Linked DNA regions of Saccharomyces cerevisiae S288C. The gene in region 4 interacts genetically with the main gene of each other region. Each region holds a gene or a part of one and is shown on either strand. Other genes may lie near its edges.

Region 1 (5,091 bases), 530 kb from region 4:
GAATATTGTCGTATGTTTGACATAAAGTACATGATTTCCTATTTATGGCTGACAAGGTTCACCATTTTATTGACAGGCATAATGGCTATTGTAGTACATTTTTTATCGTTTAATGAAATTACTTCTTCCATCAAAACTGATTTGTTAAGTTTACTTTTCGTCGTAGTGGCAGAATATGTTTCCAGTTTCTCTAACAAACAACCTGATTCGCACTCCCATAATCATGCACATCACCATTCCCATCTAACCGATTCATTGCCTCTCGAAAATGAAAGTATGTTCAAACAAATGGCATTGAATAAGGACACCAGGTCCATTTTTTCGTTTTTATTGTTGAATACCGCTTTCATGTTTGTACAACTTTTATATTCCTTTCGTTCCAAATCATTGGGCTTATTATCTGATTCGTTGCATATGGCCTTAGATTGCACATCTTTGCTCTTAGGTCTAATTGCTGGTGTATTGACCAAGAAACCAGCAAGTGATAAATTCCCTTTCGGTCTAAATTATCTTGGTACCTTGGCAGGTTTCACCAATGGTGTTCTGTTACTCGGCATAGTGTGCGGTATCTTTGTGGAGGCAATTGAGAGAATTTTCAACCCCATTCATCTTCATGCAACAAATGAGTTGTTGGTTGTTGCTACGTTAGGCTTATTAGTGAACCTTGTAGGTTTGTTTGCCTTCGACCATGGTGCACATGATCATGGTGGTACTGATAATGAAAACATGAAGGGGATTTTTTTACATATATTGGCAGATACATTAGGTTCTGTTGGCGTTGTTATTTCGACGTTATTAATCAAGTTAACACACTGGCCAATTTTTGATCCGATCGCCTCTTTATTAATTGGTTCCTTGATTTTACTTAGCGCTCTGCCCCTGCTAAAATCTACTTCCGCAAATATTTTACTAAGACTGGATGACAAGAAGCATAATCTAGTAAAGAGTGCGCTAAACCAGATTTCAACGACGCCAGGAATCACAGGTTATACAACTCCTAGATTTTGGCCGACAGAGTCAGGCAGTTCCGGGCATTCACATGCACACACGCATTCTCATGCAGAGAATCATAGCCATGAGCATCATCATGATCAGAAAAACGGTTCACAAGAACACCCGAGCTTGGTGGGCTATATTCATGTACAGTATGTAGACGGCGAGAATTCGACAATTATCAAGAAAAGAGTTGAAAAAATATTCGAAAATGTGTCGATTAAAGCGTGGGTACAAGTTGAGCCTCAAAATTCCACTTGTTGGTGCCGGGCTACTTCTATGAACACAATTTCAGCTAACCCGAATTCTTTACCGCTACAGCCTATAGCAAATTGACAATTCTTTGTCCTGCATACCTTTTATATTAATTTTTTAAACAAGATTTCATATACATAACGGTACCTATCGTAATTATTGGCGGCTGCTTGTGTTGATCACGTCTTACGGGAAATATCACAATGGAAGAAAAAAAATACTTCTAACGAAGGAAAAGATGTCATCCAGCATTGACCTCAAATTACCGAAGAGGTTGATAAAGCAATTAGCATCCAATCGGTATCATAATTCGGAAATTAAGGGGGAATCCTCTACATTTGGTGTTTCTTCTTTCCATATATTTTGAATGTTTTTTTCCTATGAAAAGTGTCTTCAGGAATCATATATGTAAAGAGATCATTCAATTAAATACATCATCGAACTAAGATTATAAACAAGAATTTAACAAAGTCACTTAATATATCAAAAAGAAGGCTTTTAGGAACTCAAAAATCCGCATCATTTGCAATTTAAAACGTACGTCATCAGGCGTATATATTCAAAGAAAATATCTCAGTTTCATTGCACTGGCTTACAGTTGATATTTCAATTAAATGGAACCATCGAATACCCAAAAAGAAGATCTTCCTACCGCTTTTAATGGTATAAAAAGTCAATTAAACAGCATATTAAAATCGAATCAATTATTTCAAGATTATGCGCTATTAAATGGGTTCTTGGCATTTGTTCATTCCAAATTGAATGCCGCAATCCTTACATCTATAGAATCACAATGTGGGAAATCCTTTGCGGCTGATCTTGATTCTTTTGATCAGAGCAGTATCTCTTCGATTTTAGATTTTTCTTGGGAAAGCGTTCACTATCCAATATTCAAATGGTTTCAGATGTGGAGGAATTATATTCTTTTTGAGAAGGAGAATAAAAAACAGCAGACCAAATTTATCGACTTTAGAAAGATGAATTCGAAGATGTTAAAATTCTTCAAAACGGTGCAAAACTTCTATGTCAACGTTATCAACACGGTTTATAAGAAATATGATATATCTGTACTTTTGCCGAAAAGGATTATCCAAGACTTAAAGTTAAGTGACATCGAAAATACCACTAATGTTGGAGACATTCTTGCGGTGAAGACATTTAATAGTAGTAGCCCACTCGCACATCTCATCCCAACGCTTTTCCATCGCTGTCTCTTATTCTTAGGAACAGCGTATCGTTATAAAACTCTCCTCGAAGAAATTTCCAATAAATACAGCATATCCAATTTTAAAAAATCTCTGGACTTCTTTCGTTTAGCTTCGTTGGTGTTACCAAGTGCTGGTGAGACGTATTCGCAAGCAGGAGCGATATTCCTTCAAACAGGAAATTTGGGGATTGCAGTATTCAATTTTGTTAAAGGTATGATGACGAAGATGCCAAGCCCTGTTTCAATCAAAAATTTTGGGGCATTAATGGTGGACAATAAAAGTTCATTAAATCGTAGCTTGCATACTACTATCATGAACACTTACTTACAAGAATCTAAAGGACCCAGGACACCTGCTAAAGAGATACTAGAATTTTATTTCCTGGGCCTTTTTGGGTCTGTTTGGTCACCTACCAGTTGGAGAGATGATACAAAACCTAACCAATTAAATAACGGTATCAAGTTAAGGCATTTGGAAAATGCACTCTACGAGACGATGTCAGCAAGATACCTGAATAATATTAAGACCATCTTTCACAATTTGATCATTACAATTGGTGGGTTCCATCTATTATTAAAAAGGCGTTCCGATGTAAGTGCAAAAACCTTGAAGGATTTACGTAGCAATGAATTGGATTACCTAAATTTTGCATTCAAGTATATTGCTCACATTTTAAATGATATCGTTAAGGAATCATGGAGCGAAAATCCTGAGGTTTCAGAAATTCTAGGTATGGTAAGAATTATCAATTGTTGGATAAAAGCAAATCCCATGGTTCTTCAATATTCACAAAGTAATCTAGAGTTTGTTAATGCCTTGGCATACTTGATAAATGATATTGTGAAAAAAAAACCAAGTCCTTCTTTTAGTATAACAGAACATATTCCTAAAAGGACATACTGGTTCGAAGAAGACTTAATGGTGAAGGGTTTATCATTCGTTAACTTTCAACTATCTGATTTTGACGATTATGAAAAAATTCTTGAAATGGATCATAGTCTCGATAGATTAATTGGTAATCCGCCATTATGCGACAAGTTATCGGCATCATCTGAAATGCTGTTAAGGTTGCAGGCTGTTGTGAATATAAGTTCGCAATTATTGCAGAACAACAACTGCGGAGTAGAATGGTCAGATAATAAATCACGTTATATCTTTAATAAGAAAATTGGATTTAAGGAGACCGTTAAAAATAGTATGAAGACATCGAAGCAATCCAATGAAAAGGCCAAGTTACAAAGAAAAAACAAACCTTCGACCACTAATGGCTCAATATCCATGGCGGATTTGGAGAGACAAATGAGAAGTAGCTCTTTGGATTCTTTTTCTCCAACTATGGGTTATAGTGGTTCGTCTGTACCTATGGCCCCAGATACGTTCAATGTTAAGCCCAGCGGTACAATAACGGGGAACAAAGTAAATGTAGAACTGTTAAAAATCGAACTAAGCGGTCAAAACGCCGATGGCGCTATTACGAATATATCTCCTGGTTACAGTAACGCAGCGATCTCTTCTTCAAATTCGACAGATGAATCATCCTTCGATTTGAACAACATCCTATCTTCAATGCAACAAAAGCACGCGGAAAAATCATTTGCCAAATCCATGCAAGGGGTGAATGAACAAATTCCAGCGAATGACGTCTGCCATCAAGCCCAGAGGCCAATGCAAGGTGGTCTGTATTCATCACAGCAACCTTCATCGATGTCTTCATTAAACTCCGCGTATCAGAATGCCTCGATGCCTCCATCTGCCTCCATGGTATCCTATCCCTATCCTTTTTTGAACCAGCAGGGGCAAGGGGTCTTTCCGCCTTATAATGCACAAAATTTACAATGGCAGAGCGAAGCTTACTCATTAAAGTCAATGAATTTTGCAAATCCAACGTGGCTAGGTGACCAGTACCAGACATCTGCGCCGTCGTCAGCATATGCGCAAGCGCAACGGCAAATGTTTCAACAACCTATGCAGCAAGATGTGGGGAAGTACATGCAATTTCCTTTTGACGCCCAAAGCAACACGGACAGCATGAGGGGAAACAGTCGGAATAATATGTTTTAATATTGTTCGTTTTTTATCATAGTTTTTCAAATCTTCATATGAATACTAGGTAGAAATTTGGCTTATCAGTACGAATGAATTACAGTTTGACTGATTTGTACACGAGAATTGACGTATAACTTCTTTTGAAAGTCTTTGAAATTACATGGTAGTACATACATATATATATATATATATATATGTTATATTATTGTTAATTAAATATTATTATGCGTATTTTCCTTTTCTTTATTAGTATAGTATTAATGACAGTAATAATAATAATAATAGTAACAATATCTCTTTTTTTTTTTCAGTGAGCTTTTATTTTTTTTTCATTGCTCTTCTTTTGGCCTCTTTTGTTTTTTTCTTGATTTCCTCCAGTTTCATCTGTTTTTTCTTTGGATCAGATACAAAATCTGGTTTGAACGCGTCATAGTGACAGTCCAATTTCAACCTTTCACAGTTGAAACAGTGCGGTCTTTCCTCGGTACACTTCTTTTTCCTTAATCTACAAATCCAGCAACCAGTACGGGACCTTGTACCTTGAGACGTTGAGGAAGTAGCATTATTCGATTCTTGAGAATTGTTTGCT
Region 2 (3,203 bases), on a different chromosome or scaffold from region 4:
TCTTTAGGGGCAGCTGTCAAACAACAGGGTCCCTTGGAACCAACTGTGGGCAACAGTACGGCAATTACCGAGGAAAGGAGGAACAAAATAAGTAGTCACAAGCAGATGTTTTTGGGATCATTATTCGGTGTTGTTTTAGGAGTTACGGTGGCTAAGATATCAATTTTGTTTATGTATGTCGGTATTACAAGCATGCTTCTTTGTGAATGGTTACGGTACAAGGGATGGATTCGCATTAATTTGAAAAATATCAAATCTGTAATTGTTTTGAAAGATGTAGACTTGAAGAAACTGCTTATTGATGGGTTATTGGGTACAGAATACATGGGTTTTAAAGTATTCTTTACATTGAGTTTCGTATTAGCAAGTTTAAATGCTAACAAATGAGCAAGACAAATGACCAGATATAAACGAGGGTTATATTCTTTCGTTTTATACTTTTTTATTTTTGGTATTTCATTTATCCTATACAGTAAATATACATAGGGCTAAGGAAGAAAAAAAAATCACGTCGAATATAAACCTAATTGTGTTCTATATTGCGGACATATATTTTTCGTAGATTGAAAAGTTCTTAAACGTAATTTTTTTGACGACCAGTGAAGAGGAATTGAATAAGTAGAACTTGGGCAATACTTATAACGGCAATGATAATGATAATCAATATAGATAACCAAGTCAACCTTGATTCGGTGGAATTGACGGTAGACATGTTTCTCCATTCTCTGGCTCTCAAATAGTTCAAAGTCTTCGTGATTTTGTTCAAGTTTCTATCTATTTCCTCCACGGCGTTATTGGCAATAATGTCATCGTTATTGACATCAGCTTCATGCTCGTCAGTCAAAGTTTTTTCCTTTTCTAGTGTAATTTCTACCTTTTTCAACGCTGTACCATAGTTATTGGAAAAACAAAAGGTATACTTCCCCACTCCAAACGATTTTAATAAAAAGTCTGAGTACTTCTTTTGTTTCTCACTAGTAATCACAGATCCATCAGGAGCAGTAATATCAAAATCAATCTCAAAATTACCACCGGTTAGAACTTGGTAACCCACAGCCAGGGAATCATCCTCAGTAACCATATCGTAGTACAGGCATTCTTTGCTGAATGCTGGTAAACTGATAGCAACTGGTGCATAACTGGAAGATGCAGCCACTGAATTGACCAACGCCAAAATTAAAACAATGAAGAAAGAGGGTAGAGCAATTGTAGATTTGATCATGGTTTTCCTTTACAATGAGTGTACTCCACTGTTTATCTTATTCTAGTTTGGGTCACCTGATGCAGAATTGGCGGTGTCGATCCCTAAGGTTAATGAATCGAAATCACTGGAGATTTTGTTAGTTTTTCATTTTAACTAGTTCAAGTTTTGGCAGAATGTACTTTTTCGTGTTTCGGGACACGTCGCTGAAAAGGATTGAAATATAACCAAACGCCATCATGTAAGGTGCAGTGAACATTAGCGCTAAGAGGATTGAGGATTGCTTTATGAAAGTTTATGAACATTTTCTTGAATTAAATAAATAAGTCTGAAAACACTTGAATTCGAGATGCTGTAGCAATTTGTAATATTATTTAAAGTTCACAGAGTGGCTTCCTTGGCGGATCTGAAAAATAGGTAGTGATTTAAGGCTATATAATATTAGATACACAAAACATACCAGAAATTTTCCTCGAAGACCAGCAGAAGGGAACCAATATCACGACATTAAAATATTGTTATCTCTTTTTATTCAGTGCTTGTATTTCAGCTTCCATTGAAAACGATGACTGTCTTCTCAATCTTCATGTCGAGCCCTCACACTGTACATGATAATATACTAGTACCATGAAAACTAGTCGATAGATGATAATTGATTTTTATTTGAAATAGAATCTTTAATGATCACAGTGGATCTTTTAAAAACTTGGTGAGATAGTGCTAGTGATCCGTAGTCTAAATGAGTTACGTACGAAAGGGAGCCAAAAGCAATCTGACCAATTTGTATATATATACATCTATCCGAAAAGGAAGACATCAATTAGTACGGGCGTGTGGTCTAGTGGTATGATTCTCGCTTTGGGCGACTTCCTGATTAAACAGGAAGACAAAGCATGCGAGAGGCCCTGGGTTCAATTCCCAGCTCGCCCCGAATAATTTTTTTTTGCCTATCTATAAAATTAAAGTAGCAGTACTTCAACCATTAGTGTTAGCGATAATCAAGAAGTGAAACTCTTTCTCTATTTTTTTTTTAATTGAAAAATTTCCTTTCTCTATAGCGTATAGAATATATGTTACATGTATATATATATATAAAGTAAAAACGTTCGGAAAATTCCTCATTATACCCAGATCATTAAAAGACATTTTCGTTATTATCAATTGCCGCACCAATTGGCTTAATCAACTTCTTCAACGGTTGGACCTTCAGCCTCTGGAGCTGGAGGAGCACCACCTGGGAAACCGCCTGGAGCACCACCTGCAGCGCCACCTGGAGCACCACCAGCTTGGTACAACTTAGACATGATTGGGTTGGCAATGTCTTGCAACTCCTTCAACTTGTCATCGAATTCTTCCTTGCTGGCAGTGGTGTTGCTGTCTAACCAAGAAATAGTCTCTTCAGCCTTCTTGGTGACGGTGTCCTTGTCAGCTTGTTCCAATTTGTCACCAGCTTCAGAAATGGTGTTCTTCAAAGAGTAAGCAATGGATTCCAATTGGTTCTTGGAAGCAATTCTTTGAGATTCCTTTTCATCTTCTTCCTTGAATTTTTCGGCTTCAGCAACCATCTTTTCGATATCTTCCTTGGACAATCTACCCTTGTCGTTGGTAATAGTGATCTTGTTAGACTTACCAGTACCCTTTTCGACGGCGGAAACATTCAAAATACCGTTAGAGTCGACATCGAAAGTGACTTCAATTTGTGGGACACCTCTTGGAGCTGGTGGAATACCACTCAATTCGAACTTACCCAACAAGTTGTTGTCCTTAGTCTTGGCTCTTTCACCTTCAAAGACTTGAATCAAGACACCTGGTTGGTTATCAGCATAAGTGGAAAAGATCTCGGACTTCTTTGTTGGAATGGTAGAGTTTCTTGGAATCAACTTGGTCATGACACCACCAGCAGTTTCAATACCCAAGGATAATGGAGCGACATCCAACAACAATAGATCTTGAGTCTTGGAAGATTCGTCACCAGTCAAAATAGCAGCTTGAACAGCAGCAC
Region 3 (2,715 bases), on a different chromosome or scaffold from region 4:
TTCTCTATGAAGTCAGACACTGATCCAACTTATGGATTTGTTTGGGGCATTAGAACTTTAGGATTTTTAGATTTGGCTTTGCTAACTCTGTCAATCATTTTAGTCAAAGAGAGGTTACCACATGTTATCGAAAATTCCAAAGATGGTGAGTCACGTTGGAGATACATACTCAGAGTTTATATTCTGCAATGTTTTGATGCGAAGGCTTTCCTGGATATGAAATATCTTTTTTGTGTCCTGGGAACGGTATTTAGTGAGTTATCCATTAATTCAGCTCTTACTTATTATGGATCATACGCCACCAGCCATGGAATTTCTGCTAATGACGCCTACACCTTGATTATGATTATAAATGTCTGCGGCATACCCGGGAGATGGGTTCCTGGCTATTTGAGCGATAAGTTCGGTAGGTTTAACGTCGCAATTGCAACTCTACTCACTCTATTTATCGTCATGTTTGTTGGTTGGTTACCATTTGGTACCAATTTGACAAATATGTACGTTATTAGTGCCCTATATGGATTTTGTTCTGGAAGCGTTTTCTCCTTACTTCCTGTTTGCTGTGGCCAGATATCTAAAACGGAAGAGTTCGGTAAACGTTACTCTACAATGTACTTCGTTGTCGGTTTCGGTACTTTAGTCGGCATTCCGATAACAGGTGCCATTATCTCTATCAAGACAACGGCCGATTACCAACACTATATTATTTTTTGCGGTTTGGCAACTTTTGTAAGCGCTGTTTGCTACATAATTTCGAGAGCATACTGTGTTGGCTTCAAGTGGGTCAGATTTTAAAAAGTAAGACAGTGCCCTTTATAGATCTTCAAAAAAGTAATGCAATAATATTTTCTTTTAGGAAATGTGTAGATAGACTATTTAATTAAAATTTCCTTATGTTTTTTTTTTTTTTTTTATTTTTCCGAATTAAAGTCACTATTTTTGTACAACTTCAACTTCAGCCATTCAGAAATCTTGCAATCTTGCATTAACGTAGAGGCGTATGAATTCTCGTAATAATTAATTAGTTTTCCTGAATTGATTAAGTCAAAGTGCCCGTCAGTCTTCTCTTTCAGCATCTCAACACGTAAATATATCAGAGGAAGCGTGATGTTATTGATAAGATTTAAGGTATCTTTTGTTAACATATGAGGGGAACACATAATGCATACTGTTTTGTTGCGTTGACTATGTGATACTAGTGAGGTGAATGTTCCTACTAACTCACGGAATTCTCTAGGAGATAATTTTGATTTAGTGAAAGCCTTACATTGGACTAGTACTTTCAATGGTTCAAAAGTATGGTCGATTATCCTATACTTTAAAGGTTTCAATACGAAGCCATTTTGCGAGTTCGTTCTTTTTATGTTACTAGCCATTTCCAAATTGGGCATTAACGATGAAATTTTCCAATAAATATCATCTACTGGCCAGCTTCCCTTTATGTCTACGCCACCATCATGGGCGCCACCGGTTTTTCTCAACTTTGTCATTCGTAGTTTCTCAGATAACTCCCTCATCACCGTATATTCATAAAGATTTCCTTGAAACACCGTAGAATGGGCGACAGCAGCATTTTGTTTCACATATGCTTGAATTGCAGGATTATTGAGCCATCTTCGTCCCAAATAGTTTTTTATCATGTTTTATCATGTTTTACCGTTCTTTACCGTGTTTTATATAGGAAGAAGCTTTAGAAATTTGCTGCAGTATTTCGCTTCCTGGTCGTTAATTTCTATGTATCGATCAACCATGTTGTTTTGCTTTTCAGTTGGCCTCGATAAATAATTTGAAAAAAAAAAAAAAAAAAAAAAAACTAGCAAACCAATGAAGCGGCTTGGCTTACAGGTACATTTTACCTTAGCGCTAAATGATATTGTAAATGTGACTTGCATCTTCTGAAGGAGCACTGTAATGAGTACTGAAAAACTGGAAGCTTCGGAGGAACCACAGGCTCCCTTGGCCAATACATCTGAGACTAACTCAATAAAGGGAGATACAGAAAATATTGTAACCGTGTTTGACCTGGCAAATGAAATAGAAAAATCACTAAAGGATGTTCAGAGGCAAATGAAGGAAAATGATGATGAGTTTTCACGCAGTATACAAGCAATTGAAGACAAGCTTAACAAAATGAGTCGGTGAGAGCAGGTGAGTAGTAACATGGAAACTTCTAATGCTTTTATTCATAAAAAAGAAAACGCGTGCTATCGCGTAACTAGGTTGCAATTAACTACAGATCGTGCCAAATACGTGCTTTTTTATATGGTTTAGAAATATTAATCAACTGAAACTTAATAATATATTCGCATGTTTTTGGAGTCTCTGGGATAGCACTTCACCTATCCTTGGAAACTTGAAATGGAGAAGTTTTAACTAAATGACTTTTTTGGCAATTGCTCTCTTATAATTCAGTACACTGTTGTTAATGTAAGTTTGTAGATAAATACAATATGACAAGTATCAAAGCAGGCTTTAGTTTTCAGCAGTTCAATTATCTTAGAATGGATATGAATTAGTTAAAGCGGCTCGACCCAGTTAGACTTAATTTGTCCTCTTCATTCACCATTTTTGCAGCGATATCACATTTCATTGAAGGGAAAAAGGTGACTGAAATATGATTACCTGTCATTTATCATTATCAAACTTGAAGATAGTGGTCAAGAAGTGGCTACGGTTCATTATATAATGCGGTCTATAAGGCTCGTTAGTTTAATT
Region 4 (3,003 bases):
ATAGTGGATCCCTAGTTGTTCGAATTTGGATTTATATTGAGCTTCATAAACTTCTTGGAAAATGTCTTTGAACCGACCGTCATATTTCTTCAAAATAGTGTTCTTGGTTGACAAGAAAAGATTTAGCTTTTTGTCAATGGCCAGCTTGAAAGACGAATGAGCAAACCCTTCGATGGATTCGTCAGTATTGTACATGGCCATGGCCACACCACTGCCCTTGTAGTCATACACTTTCAAAGTTTGTGGTTGAGCAGTCGTAGGGTCGGATGGCTTGTAGACCAGTTCCAAAGATCCTGGGCCTGGGATCAGTGTGTCCGTAGCTTTATATTGATCACCGTGGGCGTGTCTTCCAATAATGATTGGTTTTTCCCAACGTGGGACCAGTCTAGGAATTCTAGGAATCACAATGGGCTCTCTGAACACTGTACCGCCGAGAATGTTTCTGATGGTACCATTAGGAGATTTCCACATCTTGTGCAGGTTGAATTCCTTCACACGAGCTTCATCAGGAGTGATGGTGGCACATTTGATACCAACACCATACTTCTTGATCGCCTCAGCAGCATCCTGAGTAATCTTGTCGGAGGTGGCGTCACGAGATTCGACAGATAAGTCGTAGTACTTCAAATCTACGTCCAAGTAGGGTAGAATCAATTTCTTCTTGATCTTATCCCAAATGATACGGGTCATTTCATCACCGTCCAACTCGACAACGGGTTGTTTGACCTTAATCTTACTGAAAGCAGCAAGGCGAGAGGTGGAAAATAATCTTCTAGATAACATACTCATGCTGGGCGATCTTCCTTGTGCGTCTGTTGTCTCACAATTGCTTGAAGGAAGATTTCATAAGATCATATGAGTCCCTCTTTATATGGGCAAGTGGAATTATGTGAGTCAAAATCCGCGCGTGACCCGTAAAGCGTTATCAGAAGGTGCAAACGGTGCTATTTAGCTCATAAAAGGAATGATTCAAGCTCTTTTGGATTGTAAGACACCTTTATTTAGTCCAAGATCATTGCAGACCCTTGTTATGGTCTTTAGCAGAGTCCTCCTCTATATCTCTTCATTTACTGCAACCTGATTGGCCCGCTACCACGATGCCCGCTTTGTTCCTGTGGTATTAAAAGAATCGATGAAAGAGACTCTTATCTTCAGGGAAAATTAGGACCGAGAATTAGAGCAAGCAAGATATTTGCAAACTACTAACTACAAGCGACTTACACAGACATGACTATTGCTCCAATTACTGGTACGATCAAGAGAAGAGTCATCATGGACATCGTCCTCGGGTTCTCCCTCGGGGGTGTCATGGCCTCTTACTGGTGGTGGGGATTCCACATGGATAAGATTAACAAGAGAGAGAAGTTCTACGCAGAGCTAGCTGAGAGGAAAAAGCAAGAGAACTGACCGAACCTGACCACTATTGTTTTTCGCATTATATTCTTATTCCTATTTATTTATCTTTTATTTTTTTTCTGTGCTGGCCTCGATTGATTACTTTTGCAAGAGTTTGTAGGGAAGGAAAACAGACAAGTCATTCTTTTCTTTCTTTTTGACCTTTATCATAATTTTCTATTTGTATAATTTGAAAAAATAGTTTTACATATTTATGTAGTGTCAAACTAAAATAAAAACAAACTTAAAAAAAGAGTTATAGAAAATGTATGTGGAGAATAAGACAGGCAGACCTTGAGTGAACTAGGAATAGTACAATATTACCTTTAGGAGGTGCCACGTACTACCCCTTTGCTTCTATTCTTCTATGGTTTCTTTATAGCAGGATAAAAGAATAAATCAGATAATGAATCTCGACATGTTGAGGACAAAAGTGTTTGCAACTACTGTTGCTCGAATATCTGGGATTCGCAGGTATATTCCCATCAGAACTATAAACACGGTGACGAAAAAGAATATTAGTAAGATAGAAAAACTGTGTGAAGTCCTTGAAGTTAATCCTGACGGATATAAAGGAAAGGAACGCATACCGACTAAAGAACTAACTAAACTGCTATATACCACAAGCAGGAATATGTTGGTACGAGTACCAATGACTGGAGACTTGAGCACAGGAAATACATTTGAAACAAGAAACGAAACTTTACAAAAATTGGGTGAACAGCTCATTCACTTGGAAATTAATAAGATGCTTACAATAACATTTACGAATTTCAATCAGTTTAATATAATGAACAAAAACTTCAATTACATTCATAACTTAGATCGAGCTCGAGTAGTGAACATGGACTCGATAAGCTGGCTTATCAAGAATTCGTTGAAAATTAACCAATTAGCTCATTTGCGAATACCTGCCAATTTGCCGAAGGAAATGGGATTAACTTCCAGCTCTAATGATTTTCAGAACTTGAACGATTGGAAAGTGATCTTATCCTTTATTGGTTACCTGAAATTACTCGAAATTAAAAACGATAACAAAAAATTCATTGAATCAATTATAAAAACTATATGCATACCTCTAATTAATTACCATTTGCGTAAATCATAGTACAAAAGAAACGATGCCTTTTTGTCCGTTATCCCTTTGTTTTATTTACAATAAGTACGTAAAAACAATTATTTCTTATTTTTGTTTATAATGTTACAAATCTTTTTTATCCCCATTCTTCCCAATTTTTTTTTTCTTTTCTTTTTTTCCTTAATTAGGGCATGAAGCCCATTTCGATTGTTAATCACTGTCACTGTCGCTACTATCACTACTGTCTTCTTCAGAATCGGAATAATTATTATTATTTATGATTTCATCCTTTTCCAAAAATTTCAAGGTTTTCTTTTTCTTGTTAGTTGGCGCAGTCGAGTAGTTGCCACTTAGTTTTCTTTTGCTATTGTTGTTATTTTTTTTCTCAAAATATCTCTCATAAATTCTTGCAATAGTCGCTTCATCTAAAATATCCAAATCAATTTCAATTTCATCTTCATTGGAAGTTAGTATTTCATCTGCGGGTAATGAATTTTTAATGATACGAATCATCCCATTCATTTCTAAAT

The links.
Region 1: mutations in CBS1 (region 4) and EBS1 together harm fitness more than expected from each alone (negative genetic interaction), as found in Saccharomyces cerevisiae (one large-scale study listed by BioGRID).
Region 2: mutations in CBS1 (region 4) and ERP2 together harm fitness more than expected from each alone (negative genetic interaction), as found in Saccharomyces cerevisiae (one large-scale study listed by BioGRID).
Region 3: mutations in CBS1 (region 4) and BIL1 together harm fitness more than expected from each alone (negative genetic interaction), as found in Saccharomyces cerevisiae (one large-scale study listed by BioGRID).

What each region holds. Positions count from the first base shown.
Region 1 is NC_001136.10:860,192-865,282, forward strand, and holds EBS1 (Ebs1p), read left to right. Parts: upstream 1-1,862; coding exon 1,863-4,517; downstream 4,518-5,091. Other genes in the region: metal cation transporter MSC2, read left to right, coding at 1-1,329; DNA-binding transcriptional regulator UME6, read right to left, coding at 4,821-5,091. UniProt on the Saccharomyces cerevisiae protein: Plays a role in nonsense-mediated mRNA decay (NMD). Recruits UPF1 to cytoplasmic mRNA decay bodies (P-bodies). Negative regulator of gene expression. Inhibits translation most likely through effects on eIF-4E (CDC33). Involved in telomere maintenance.
Region 2 is NC_001133.9:137,124-140,326, forward strand, and holds ERP2 (Erp2p), read right to left. Parts: upstream 1,223-3,203; coding exon 575-1,222; downstream 1-574. Other genes in the region: FUN14 (Fun14p), read left to right, coding at 1-387; Hsp70 family ATPase SSA1, read right to left, coding at 2,380-3,203. UniProt on the Saccharomyces cerevisiae protein: Involved in vesicular protein trafficking.
Region 3 is NC_001147.6:887,947-890,661, reverse strand, and holds BIL1 (Bil1p), read left to right. Parts: upstream 1-1,911; coding exon 1,912-2,142; downstream 2,143-2,715. Other genes in the region: MCH5 (riboflavin transporter), read left to right, coding at 1-795; RRG7 (Rrg7p), read right to left, coding at 912-1,640.
Region 4 is NC_001136.10:332,621-335,623, reverse strand, and holds CBS1 (Cbs1p), read left to right. Parts: upstream 1-1,813; coding exon 1,814-2,503; downstream 2,504-3,003. Other genes in the region: isocitrate dehydrogenase (NADP(+)) IDP1, read right to left, coding at 1-789; COX9 (cytochrome c oxidase subunit VIIa), read left to right, coding at 1,228-1,407; BDF2 (Bdf2p), read right to left, coding at 2,684-3,003. UniProt on the Saccharomyces cerevisiae protein: mRNA-specific translational activator of cytochrome b.